Linked DNA regions of Mus musculus. The protein of the gene in region 1 purifies or fractionates together with the protein of each later gene. This does not show direct contact. Links are inferred from orthologs where the notes say so. Each region holds a gene or a part of one and is shown in the gene's direction. Other genes may lie near its edges.

Region 1 (3,645 bases):
CTTCCTGAATCAGGACCTGCAAAGACTTAAGTTAGATGGCAGACTTGTGCTTTTTCAGTTTTAGTTTCATACTTTAAAATGCTTGAGCATGAGACACACAAATGAGTCTTCATTTTCCCATTTAAAGGAGTATTTTACAGCAAATCTAGGGCAGTACCTCTTCCCTCCTATACTTAGTAATGTTATCTCTATAGTGTTTTGCTTTAAGAAACTAGTAATGTCATACCCACCAAGATTAGTAACACTTTCTGAATATCTGATACTTTGCATGTTTTAATTTCCTCGTGAAAAATCACAGTTAGTGCAGACTATAGACGTTGACGGCAGTTACTCACTCGTAACTGTTGTAGTGGAAGTGGCCCTACTCTGTTGCATCCCACTGGAGGTGCGTGATGTTGAAATGTTTGTAATCAAGTCTGTAAATTGAGGTTTATTCCTTTGCTCTAAACATACTTTATACAGGAAAAGGATAATGGCTCTCTCCCAACCCCTTCTTCAGTCACTAATTTTACAGTAGGAGTTAGGATTACAGCAGTCATTCTAGTTGAGTCTGATGAAGTAGGGATTTTGTTGGTTGGAGGTAGATTTTTATTTTTTAACTATATAAATTTGTGGGTATTTTCTTCTTCAAATTACTGTCATCTCTTAGATTTTTGTTTGCTTCATTTTTGATTGTGGTTTCCCTTGAAATTCGTTTGTTTATTTGACCCAGCTATCTTGCCTGCCTTCTTGCACAATTAGGTAACTGTTGCATTGGGAATGTTCTTGCTTCAGCCTTGAATCAGTCATCCCTTGGAACCGTGTTCCTTTAGGGAAAATGAGGCTTAGAGGTACCATAGTCAGTACATCCCAGCCTTTAATTGTTTGTTTTCTTTGTTTTGTTTTTTGCGGAGGTCTGCTTTTAAATTATAAAAAGTACTTAACTTAAATGATTTGGGGGGGATGGGGAGGTGAGATGGGGTTTCTTGACCCCTGGCTGTCCTGGAACTAGCTCTCCAAACAGACCGGCCTCAAACTCAGAGATTTTCCTGCCTCTGTTTCTTGAGTGTTGGCTTAAAAGACATGCACAATCCCCACCTGGCTTAAATGAAATATTTCTTAATGTACAGGAAATGTATGTATAATGAGAAGTGGGTTTTGCCAGTAGATGCTTAGTAACTAGGAGAGAATGAGTGAATTCCTGATTGTTGGGCGCTGTGACCTGTTTTATGTTGTTTTCGCCACCAAGTCATATCTTTGTCTTCTACTAAAGTAGCCAAAGGAAAATCTAACATAAAAGTTCCCATCATAAAAAGGAGGCTTTACCTGTTCCATCTTTTCCACTAGAACGGTGTACTGCTGAGGACTGTCCTAGACCCTGTTACTGGGGACCTGTCTGACACCCGCACTAGGTATCTGGGGTCCCGTCCTGTGAAACTCTTCCGGGTCCGGATGCAAGGCCAGGAGGCTGTAAGTAGTCAAAAGACATTTGGATGTTGGTACCACTGTGAACTTCTGACTAATTCACTTTGTAGGTTGATGTTCGTTTCACTTACATAGGAAATTCTGGGTTCTTTGGAGTTTTCTAAGAGATGGTCCATGAGATGGCACTGGGCATTATGAGGTTATAGGAAGCTTGAATATTGATCTTTGAGTCTATTTAGGCCTAGCTATCTGAGATGGAAAAGGATTATAGTGATCTCATGAGTCTACCTAATAGGAATGAGAGCCTATTCTTCGCAGTTCAGAGTTAACACTGCCACTGCCGTGCTAGTTCTTAAACGTTACCTTATTCACATCTACAGCTGTCCAACCTTGGAATAGAGTCTCTAATTTATACCCAAGGGAAAGTCGGTCCAGAGGAATGTGATTGATAAAGCTTGCTTTTTCTTTTTCTTTTTACTTATTTTTTTCCTTTCTTTATACAATAAGCCGTGTACTGCCTGTTTGGGCTCCCTTTGTTTAAAGTGGCTTTGTAGACTTCTAAAATTTGAGGCCAAAGTTGGGTTGTATGTTTGTTTGGTCAGTCTACCATGTATGAGCTTGTCCAGTCTGATTGGAACTCTTCCTCCCCAGGTTCTGGCTATGTCCAGTCGCTCATGGCTGAGCTACTCTTACCAGTCTCGCTTCCATCTCACCCCTCTGTCTTATGAGACCCTGGAATTTGCATCGGGCTTTGCCTCTGAACAGTGTCCCGAGGGCATTGTTGCCATCTCCACCAACACTTTGAGGTGAGAAAATACTGCCAGGCAGTGGTGGTGCACGCCTTTAATCCCAGTACTCCAGAGGCAGAGGCAGAGGCAGGAGGATTTCTGAGTTCCAGGACAGCCAGGGCTACACAGAGAAACCCTGTCTCAAAAAAACAAAAAGGAAAAGAGAAAATCCTCAGGCTTGAAGCCCAGCAGGAAGCTTTTGTGCCAAGTCCTCAGCCTGTGGTTCTACCAGAGTTGGAGGAGTTTGTAGAGATGGCTGAGAACAACCTTTCACCAGGAAAGAGTGTTGCAGCTGAAATTTAGTTTGGCTCAGGCGTTTAGAAACTGTGAGCCAAGTTTGAATTTGGCATTTAGCTTCTGTTTAGACTTTAGGAGCTAAGTTGTAAAACTAGTCTTGCACTTTAAGATTTCTGTTTCCTGGTGAAATGGTCATATCCCAAGACTAGTTTTAGAACAAGCGTTAAATCTGGATTTACCTATAGAATTATATCTTTTTTTAGCCATGGTTTCACCATGTAGCCCAGGACATGTTACATAGACCAGCTTGGCCTCAAACTCATAGAGATCCACCTGCTTATGTTTATTGAGTACTAGGATGAAAACCTCGTTCTTTATTTTTCATGACAGAATCTTACTAGGTAGCCAATGCTGGCTGGCTTCAAGATCAAATTTCAGGTGCTCACTTGGGCTCAAGTTGCATGCATGCACATACACACAAATACAGAAGGCCACTGAACATTCTAGTACTTATTGTTAGTCAATCACTTTTTGTCTATTAGTAATATATAAATATTTGTCTTAATTTTTTTGTGTGAAGGCAGGTTTTGTTTTTTCTTTGAAATACAGTTTTTGGAAAAAGTGAATTAGAAATATGATGAAGTGTTGTGGAGTATTTGCCAGAGTCTGCTGCTCTGATTTGGGTTTAAGCCAATAGAAAGTCTGATGTTTGCGATCTCGTGTATCTTCAAGCTGAGTTGGAACTCATCCTTAGGATGAGTTTTAAAGCACGAAAGCCATGTCCCAGCTGACATATTTCAGTTAACAAGGACAGTTAGCCAGAAGTGGAACTACAGAAACCAAAAGGCAAGGTTAGTACATTTAGAGACTTTCCCAGAATGATAGACTTTGGTGGATTAGGCCTTTTAGTTTTGGCAGATGGTGCTGTGTGTGTACGCTAAGTTTTATAGCCCGAGTGGTATTTTTCCAATCCTATTTGGAAGAACTGTTTGTTATAAATGGGGATTTCTTAAACCTCAAGTCTCCATTCATAAGAGTTACCATGGACAGAAGTAGACAAGAGAGAAAGTAGGAAAAATCTGTGTCCAATCCAGTAGAGTCAAATACAGCTTCTGGGCTGAAGTCTTATTCTTCTGGGACCAGGAACAAAGTGGTTGATCTCAGGGTTCCTCTGGAACTTAAGGGAGCAGGGTCCTATTAGGGTTGATAGGTGGGA
Region 2 (4,159 bases), on another chromosome or scaffold:
ATTTTAATGGAGGGAGGTATTTAATTGTTCATAAATATCAATCAAGAACTGTAGATTTATCTTGCCATTACTAAAATTATTTTGAGTAGAAAGTATTAAAATTACCCCTGAGTCACCCTGGTTGGCTTTCCAGCATAAAACAGACAAAATCATTCGAGAGTTGTGTGAACCTTTCTGCCCAGACCTTGGACTAAGAATGTACCTGGCTCTGATTAGCTTAAAATAGACAAGGTATAATCTTATTTGGCTGAAATCTCTTTTTAGGGGGAAGGGAAGGTTCGAGATAGAGTTTGTGGCCCAAACTTGGACCACCATGCCTAGCTATGAAATAACGTTTCCCCTGTTTTATAACCCACATTACAAGGACCTCTGCTTTTCTTAATGTCCAGGCCCATTGTTCTGTTATAAGTCACCCTTAAGCTGCACACTGCAATTCTGGACTTGCCTGCCTCTTTCTTTGGTCTCATTGATCCTTGGGACCAGTTCCCATACATGGGGACAGGGGTGTTTGTTGACAAAATCACGTTCCATGTAAGCAGTTTTGGAGAGCGCAGAAAGCAGTTGTATTTCCTTGCTTTTAGACACGATATTCTCTCTAGAGCCATAAATAATAAATTATAGAATCAAATGATAATAAACTAATATCATCCAAATTCTTTCAAAATTATTTGCACTATGTTTGTAATTAGAGACAAATGTATATGTTGAGTAACTACATTTAACAGTGTGGTTATTGCAAATAAGGTGTTGAATTTTTTGTTTTAACTTTAACTGAAATATCCACATACATTTTTTTAAGTCGAAGGACTTGCTATATATAAAATTTATTTAAAACTCTGTCCTGAGAGTGGTTTTTCTAGTTTTAAGAAGGTACCCTGCATCCCCAAAGGAAAACCATTCTGTCCAAAGATTTGATTGGCTTAGCTTAATGTCAAGCCAAGTAAGGACATCTTGCAGGACCGAGTTCCCTGCTTCCAACATGTGAATCCCAAGTATTAAACTCGAATCTTAGTGGGCTTCTTTCAGAACTTCTCTTCCTTTAACATGTGAAAGTTCCAGGCCTTCACAAGTAGTTTTAATAACTTCGTAACTGGTCTAAAAAAACCTGCAGAAGATGTCGTCCACCAGCCCTCCCGCCCTCCGAAGGTGCAAAGCACTCCTCCCGTCGCTAGGGGCCGCTGTCGCCCTCCCGGTGGCCGGAAGGCAGCGCAGCTTCCGCGTTCTCGTCGCGCGTCCGCAGGCCTCCGCGCGCTTTTCCGGCCATTCATAACCCCAGTCCGTGGATCTCTGGAGCCTGAATTCTGTGAACAGTCGGGCCAGAAGGGAGAACTGCGTCGCTAGGATGAAGCTCGTGAGGTGAGGAGGGTACCCCCGCCGGGCGAGGACGACGGGTAGAGGATTTGGGGTCGGCTCGGGAGGCCGGGCCGCTGTGCTCCCAGGGAGGCGGGAAAGCCGCGTGCGCGCGGCCTGCTAACGGCCTCAGGCCCCCGGGCCCCGCCGCGCCCTGCCCGCCGCCCAGAGCCCGGGCGAGGGGCCAGCGCGCAGACCCCGCCGGTCTTCCAGGAATGGAGGGGCCGAGCCGCCTCTGCCCACCCAGTATCCGGCAGCTTAAACGGAGCAGTGGCCCGTTTTCTTGGCGAATCGGACCATTTGCACTGAGGAGGACTTAGTAGACCTAGCATGGTTTTATCTGCAAATGATGACGCCGATTTGCAAGACGTTTTAGACTAAGATCTCCTTAAATTTGACCAGTTATACGAAGTATGTAAGTGGTTAGTGTAGGCTTCTAACTCAGGAAAGACAAAATGTCCTAGGATGGGGCAGAAGGTAATAAATTAATTTCGCCTGCATAGTTAATATCGGAAGTGGAGCCTAACTAGAGGCATGCTGGTTTAATTCAAATGAACAGGCTTGGGTCAAGCCTGAGGCAGGTTATACAATATCAAGCAAATAACTAGAAATATTTAGTTTCTTGTTGAGTCAAGACTGTTGTAGTTGGCCAGAATGGCATTGAACACCTTCTGAAGTAGTTGTACATAATTCACAAGAATTCTTTTAAAACATTTTTGAAGTTTTTTTAACGGTGACTCATAGCCTGCTTGAAATTGGAAAAAAAAAAATTACTTCAGGAGGAATTTGAGGGAGAAGGCATTTAAGGTTAAAAAAATTTTCCCCTGTTCTGGGGATGGCACGCAGAGAGCTTCTAATAGTCACTTAACCTTGAGCTCAGCCCCAGTTCATTTGTATTTGGACTGTAACCTAGGTAGAATGCTAAGACTTGCCGTTTCTTTACTCCCTGATATGAACTATAATGTATTTACAGTAACATGTTCATCTCATTTAAAGGTTCTATTATGATAACTTTGCCAGCATCCTAGGCAGGTGCTCACTCTCCTGCTGCTGCTGCTTTGATTTGTCTTGGACCCTATTTTGTATAGCGCAAAGTATAGAGATTTCTAATTACAGGAGAATTTTTTTTAAAGATGTATTTATTTTATGTATGTGAGTACACTGTAGCAGTACAGATGTAGCAGTTGGGGCCTTCATGTGGTTGTTGGGAATTGAATTTTGGACCTCTTCTCGCTCTGGCCCAAAGATTGATTTATTATTATAAATAAGTACACTGTAGCTGACTTCAGAGGGTGTCAGATCTCATTACTGGTGGTTTTGTGAGCCACTATGTGATTGCTGGGATTTGAACTCAGGACCTTTGGAAGAACAGTCAGTGTTCTTACCTTGCTGAGCCATCTCGCCAGCCCCCAAGGGAGAATGTTTTTTGCCCTGTGAAAATGGTTGACTGGTTTGCACTTTTGGTGTGGGCTTTCTTATTTGTGCATGAGTTTTGTATTGGACTGTATTGCCTGTATTTATCCCGTTGCCACCTTGCCCAAACTTAGGAAGTGTGCTTAGCTACCTTTCTCTTAATCCTCCTGGCGTCTGGTAAGTTGCCAGGTTTCTTAATTTTTCTAACTGGAGATACTTCTCACTATCCAGTTCTCTTTGGTTTTCTATTCAAATAGGAAAAATTTGGGTACTAAAAGGACCCCATACACTTTACTGTTTGATGTGCCAGTCTCATTAAGAAAAGAATTCACAGCTAGGTGATGGTGGCCCATGCCTTGAATCCTCACACTTTCTCTGCGTTCAAGGCCAGCATGCTGTACAGCGGGAGTTCTAGGACAGCCAGGGCTACACAGAAAACAAAAGTAAGAAGAGAATTCACAAAATGAAGGACTCACTGGAAAATAATTTGAATTTATGTGTTCCTTGGCCTCTTTTTACTTTTATATTGAGACAGGGTCTCACAAGTTGTGCTGCCTGACTTGAAATCACTCTATCTCAGCTGACATTAGATTGAGAATCATCCTGCCTCTGCCTCCTGAGTGCTGGGATTAGAGGCCTTCACTGCCACCAACCAGCATCTCTAGATAGCATAAGGGAATTTTTGTTTCGTTTTGTTTTGTTTTTCGAGACAGGGTTTCTCTGTGTAGCCCTGGCTGTCCTGGAACTCACTCTGTAGACCAGGCTGGCCTCCAACTCAGAAATCCACCTGCCTCTGCCTCCCAAGTGCTGGGATTAAAGGCATGACCACTGCCTTGCTCATAAGGGAATTCTTCAGCAGAATATTTTCTTCACAAAAGGACCCTGTTCTCCCCACCTCCTCCTTTCTGAGTGCTGGAATTAAGTCTTTGCCACCGTGCCTGGCAAAATACTGTTTGTAATGTAGTAGTTTAAGGTTGCTGAAACGTTCAGCCTGTACTTGGTGTGTGTTACTATAGAAAAGTCGTGCTACTTACTTTCTCATGGGAGAATGGAATAGGTAATATCACTCGTGTAGTTTACTGTAGTGGATGTTATAGGAGTGCACAATGGATATTGTAGAAAAATAAGTAGACTGGAAAATCTGAATATGAAGTGTTATTAGATGATATTGTAGATTATCATTCCATTGCCATTTGGCTAAAATAAAGCATGAGTGATAATGTAGAATTCCTGGTGGGTTACATTCCTGAATATTAATAGAGTAAAAGAAGAGAATGTTTTTTAAAGTCTTGGTCTGGGAAACATCGCCTTAAAACCTGTGCTCCAAAAGGGTTGTAATAGAATAAAATGGAGAGATGCTTAGGTTGAGAACACTGGCTGCTCTTCCAGAGGATCT
Region 3 (4,201 bases), on another chromosome or scaffold:
GAATCCCTGTCTGGGGGAGGGGGGAAGGGGAGGAGAGACACTTGTCAAGTTGCTCTAGGAGAAGGTAAGGAGGGGTCCTTGTCCCTAGCCTGGGAAATGCTGCTCTTGGCATATGTGTGTTGGGCAGCATCGCCCTCTGCTGGCCATTCCTGGTGATGCAGCTGGGTTTTTACCAGGCCATTCCCCAAATGTCGGGAATGCTTACCAAGTTCTAACTCTTCCAAACCTGTTTCAAGATTAATGCACCACCTTCCTCGTTGTGATCTCCAGTTCCTTTCCTTGGTTCCCTACCCCAAACCTTATGGGTTCCAAACACCTCATAGGGCTACGAAGCCCTTTATGATCTGACACTGACACGTGGCCTCCATTTTTTTTTTTGAGTCTGGGTTCTCTGGCTGCCCTGGAACTCGCTCTGTAGACCTGGCTGGCCTCGAACTCAGAAATCTGCCTGTCTCTGCCTCCCAAGTGCTAGGATTAAAGGTGTGCACCACCACTGCCCAGCTTCCAATAATCTTTTATTTTTTGCTTTCTTGAGAAAAACTTGCCATGTAACCCTGGCCGGCCTTATTCAAGACAAGATTTCGTCAAACCCTCAGTGATATCCCTGCCTCTGTCTCCTGAGTGCTGTATGCTCTGCATAGTAAACAGTTAACAGCACCCAGAAGTACCTTTGTCAGCAAAACTGCCTGAAGTACTTCCTAACTCCTGCCCATGCCTTTCAGGTCTCATCTGGGGGCTTTATCCCTGCCAGAAAGTCTCTGACCCTGCCTGTGGTGAGCAGGTCCTTCCCTTTTACACAGCGAATTCCTCATATCTGCAGGTTTCCTTCTTGTTTGGAAACACAAAGGTTCTCCCCCCAATTTAATCTCATGCCAGCCCTACAGGCTGGATGTGATGATAGAAGGAAGTCAAATCTACAGAGAGCACAAAGTTGGATGAGATGGTTCGGCGGTTAAAGATGCTTGCTGCCAACCTTGACTGAATTTTATCCACACTCCCATAAGTTGTCTTCTGACCGCATAAGTATTTTTAAGAGGACTCGAGGGTCTATGCGATAGGGCCAATACAACCACTCCAAATATTAACACACGAGGACCTCAAGTTAGAGTAGCGATCAAATGACACACGGTCCCCGCTGACTTTCCCATTTGATAGGTTTAAGATCCATCAGCGGGGCTACGCATGCGCATAAGAGAAGGCCCGCCTTTGACCCGGAACTTTGATGCTTGGGTGCCGCATAAAGACGCTTGCGTAACCGGAAGTACCTGCGGGTACCTAGGGTCCAGCCTGGCTTCCGGAGCCCGCTGTGGCGGTTACTGTGTTGAAGAGACCTGTTATGGAGGCGGTGGCAGCTGCAGAGGTGACGGAGAGGAAGCCGGATAATGGTGAGACGTTTGCCAGGCTCAGGTGACCGGAGGGTGCTCTTGCGGTGTGACCAGGAAATGGTTCCGGCAAGCGCTGAGGACTCTAGGAAGTCTGACCGCCGCTTACTGGCACTTTCAACACTTGGTCCACCTTGTGGGTCTGGTTATTCGGCCTTGTAGCAGGTTGACGTTTCCCTTCTTCTTTGAAATGAACCCCTTTCCATGTCCTAGGCTAACCCACTTTTTTTTTTACCATGCCAACGCTTCAAGCAAATAACAACTCTCCTGCAGATTCTTCCAGTCTCAGACCAACCTTTCTCAAGTTAACATCATTTCTGTGCCAACCTGAGTTTCTCCGTATCCCAAGCTAGCTCTCCTCTTGTCCCATGAAAGCTCACATCAAACCAACAGCCCCCATTGCATTCTAACCCTTCCTGACCCCAACGTCTGCCTCTTTAGGTCCTAAAGTTCTCATTCCGCCCCTTTAGGTCCTTTCTCCCTCGCACCTTCAATGCCTTTTACTTTGCTACTGACTTCCTACAAGTATTGGCTTGGGGGGGCGGGGGCGGGGGCTTTTGTTTTGTTTTGTTTTGGGGTTTTGTTCACAGCCTTTTATTATTGCCAAGGTCAGCCTCCAAATTGCTGTCCTCCAATCCCAGGTCCCAAGGTACTGAGTTTACAGCCCTGTGCCACCACGCCTGTCTTTAATGTTTCATAGTAGTCTGATGTGCGATGACAACTTGGAACTGGGAGTTACTGAAGCTGAATAGCAGATTATGAATGTAGAGGCAGAGGTGTGTTCTAGTGTGTGTTTCAATCTTTGATAATCTCCAATTGTGGTGATTTATATCTGTAACCCCAGCACTTGGGAGACTGAGGCAGGAGATTACCCTTAAGTTTGAAGACATCCTAAACTACATAGTGAGTTCCAGACTACAAAGTCAAACCCTGTACTATGAGGCCCTGCTTCAAAGTATATATATTAACATTTTCTGTAACAAAATTGTATGTATCTTTTAAACTTTCTGGTGCTGGGCCTCAAGCCTTACAAATGCCAATCACATTTGCTACCATGAAGCCATAAAAGAGAATCTGGGGCAAGATGTGGTGAAATGGGCCTATAGTCAGGAGCCTAGAAGGTTCAAAGCCAGGGATTAAGGCCGTAGCTTATTAGTGGGATGTTTGCATAGCATGCCTGAGGCCCTGGGTTCAATCCCCAGCACCATCTAAACTGTGTGTGGTAGAGCAGGCCTGTCCTCCTAGCACTGCCAAGACACTGCTCATAATTTTCTTACCCATCACCTACTACAGCGTGCTCTCCACCCTGAACTTGTTCCAGTCAGGTAGGATCCCCAGGGACGTCCATTCATGGCTATTCAATCTACTTGATTAGAGTTTTGTTGTTTTGTTACATTCTCATTGTTATTCATTCATTTGTTTGATTGTATATTTATTTATTTGAGGTGGGGTTTCACCCTGTAGCCTAGGCTGACCTAGAACTCACTATGTAGTCTAGCCTGGTCTAAAACTCATGAATCATTCTACCCCAGCCTCCTGAATGCTGGGGCTATTTGTGTGTGTGTGTGTGTGTGTGTGTGTGTGTGTGTGTGTGTGTATGCATACATACATACCTGCCCAGCATCCAGACTGTTTTCTTACTATACTGCTTCCAGCAGCCAGTGCCAGCCACCTGGCACAGTTGCCTTATGAGAGAAACAATATGCACTGCTTCCCTTCTGTTTCTCAGGCTGCTCTTTCTTAGCTCTTCCAACTGCTATACCAAAGACCAGAAACTGGGTGTTTGGTTTTTTGTTGTTGTTGTTTCCTTTTCGGTTTCTCGAGACAGGGTTTCTCTGTGTAGCCCTGACTGTCCTAGACTTGATTTATAGACCAGGCAGTACTCGAACTCACAGGTGTTCCCCTGCCTCTGCCTCCCAAGTGCTAGAATTTGTGAGCTGCCATGTGGATGCTGGGAATTGAATCTGGACTCTGGAAGAGCAGCAGCCTATGCTCTTAAACGCTGAGCCATCTCTCCAGCTACAAGATGTCACTTTCCTGGCAAGCCTGCTACCCTGCAGTTTAAAAGTGAGCCATCCTAACATTTGCTGCTTCTGTCTTTTTTAGGCTTTTCATTGGATACTTTATTTATCATCATCATCATTTTGTTATCATTGGTGTTTTGGATTTTGTTGTTTGTTTTTTGAGATTTTTATTTTGAAATTCAATATCACTGTGTAGGCCTGGCTGGCCTTGAACTCAGAGAGATCCACTTGCCTCTGCTTCCTCCACGCTGAAACTGAAGGTGTGTACCACCATACCAGGCTTGTCCGACTGTCTTTCTACCTAGCCAGGGAAGCACGTAATATATTCCATGGTTGTTTGTTTGTTTGTTTGTTGTTTTTTCGAGACAGGGTTTCTCTGTATAGGCCTGGCTGTCCTGGAACTCACTCTGTAGACCAGGCTGGCCTCGAACTCAGAAATCCACCTGCCTCTGCCTCCCGAGTGCTGGGATTAAAGGCATGAGCCACCATGCCTGGCATATTCCATGGTTTTGTTAATTAGTTAGACTATTGACTGTGCAGCATCACGGCCTGTTCACCATGGTCTCTCTGTCTAAGGCCTAGAACATTACCCAGAATGTAGCAGGTACTCAGTAAACGTGAGCTGTTTGAATGTGTCAGTTCCCAGCCTCCTCCTGCCTAAGCCCCCTTCCCCTGATGCCCTTAACTAAAGACTCCTCTTGACTCTCAGACGGCGTGGAGCCCAGAGTTGTGCACTGGGGGGAGCTGAGCCAGACTCCCATTCCATCTGGACCGCAGGAGAAGGAGACAGCAGAG

Evidence for each region. The genes of interacting proteins can lie anywhere in the genome.
Region 2: the proteins of Sf3b3 (region 1) and Snrpd1 fractionate together in Homo sapiens (co-fractionation; 4 studies listed by BioGRID and IntAct, with this or other methods). This does not show direct contact. The link is inferred for Mus musculus from reciprocal best matches to the Homo sapiens genes SF3B3 and SNRPD1.
Region 3: the proteins of Sf3b3 (region 1) and Ccdc97 purify together in Homo sapiens (affinity purification with mass spectrometry; 3 studies listed by BioGRID and IntAct, counting the BioPlex papers as one, with this or other methods). This does not show direct contact. The link is inferred for Mus musculus from reciprocal best matches to the Homo sapiens genes SF3B3 and CCDC97.

Annotation. Positions count from the first base shown.
Region 1 is NC_000074.6:110,819,272-110,822,916, reverse strand, and holds part of Sf3b3 (splicing factor 3B subunit 3), read left to right. Parts: intron 1-1,326; coding exon 1,327-1,449; intron 1,450-2,055; coding exon 2,056-2,210; intron 2,211-3,645. UniProt on the Homo sapiens protein: Component of the 17S U2 SnRNP complex of the spliceosome, a large ribonucleoprotein complex that removes introns from transcribed pre-mRNAs.
Region 2 is NC_000084.6:10,616,571-10,620,729, forward strand, and holds the start of Snrpd1 (small nuclear ribonucleoprotein Sm D1), read left to right. Parts: upstream 1-1,225; 5' UTR 1,226-1,342; coding exon 1,343-1,356; intron 1,357-4,159. UniProt on the Homo sapiens protein: Plays a role in pre-mRNA splicing as a core component of the spliceosomal U1, U2, U4 and U5 small nuclear ribonucleoproteins (snRNPs), the building blocks of the spliceosome.
Region 3 is NC_000073.6:25,716,102-25,720,302, reverse strand, and holds the start of Ccdc97 (coiled-coil domain-containing protein 97), read left to right. Parts: upstream 1-1,267; 5' UTR 1,268-1,336; coding exon 1,337-1,385; exon of another isoform or gene 1,386-1,407; intron 1,408-2,023; exon of another isoform or gene 2,024-2,158; intron 2,159-3,303; exon of another isoform or gene 3,304-3,449; intron 3,450-4,115; coding exon 4,116-4,201. UniProt on the Homo sapiens protein: May play a role pre-mRNA splicing through the association with the splicing factor SF3B complex which is involved in branch-site recognition.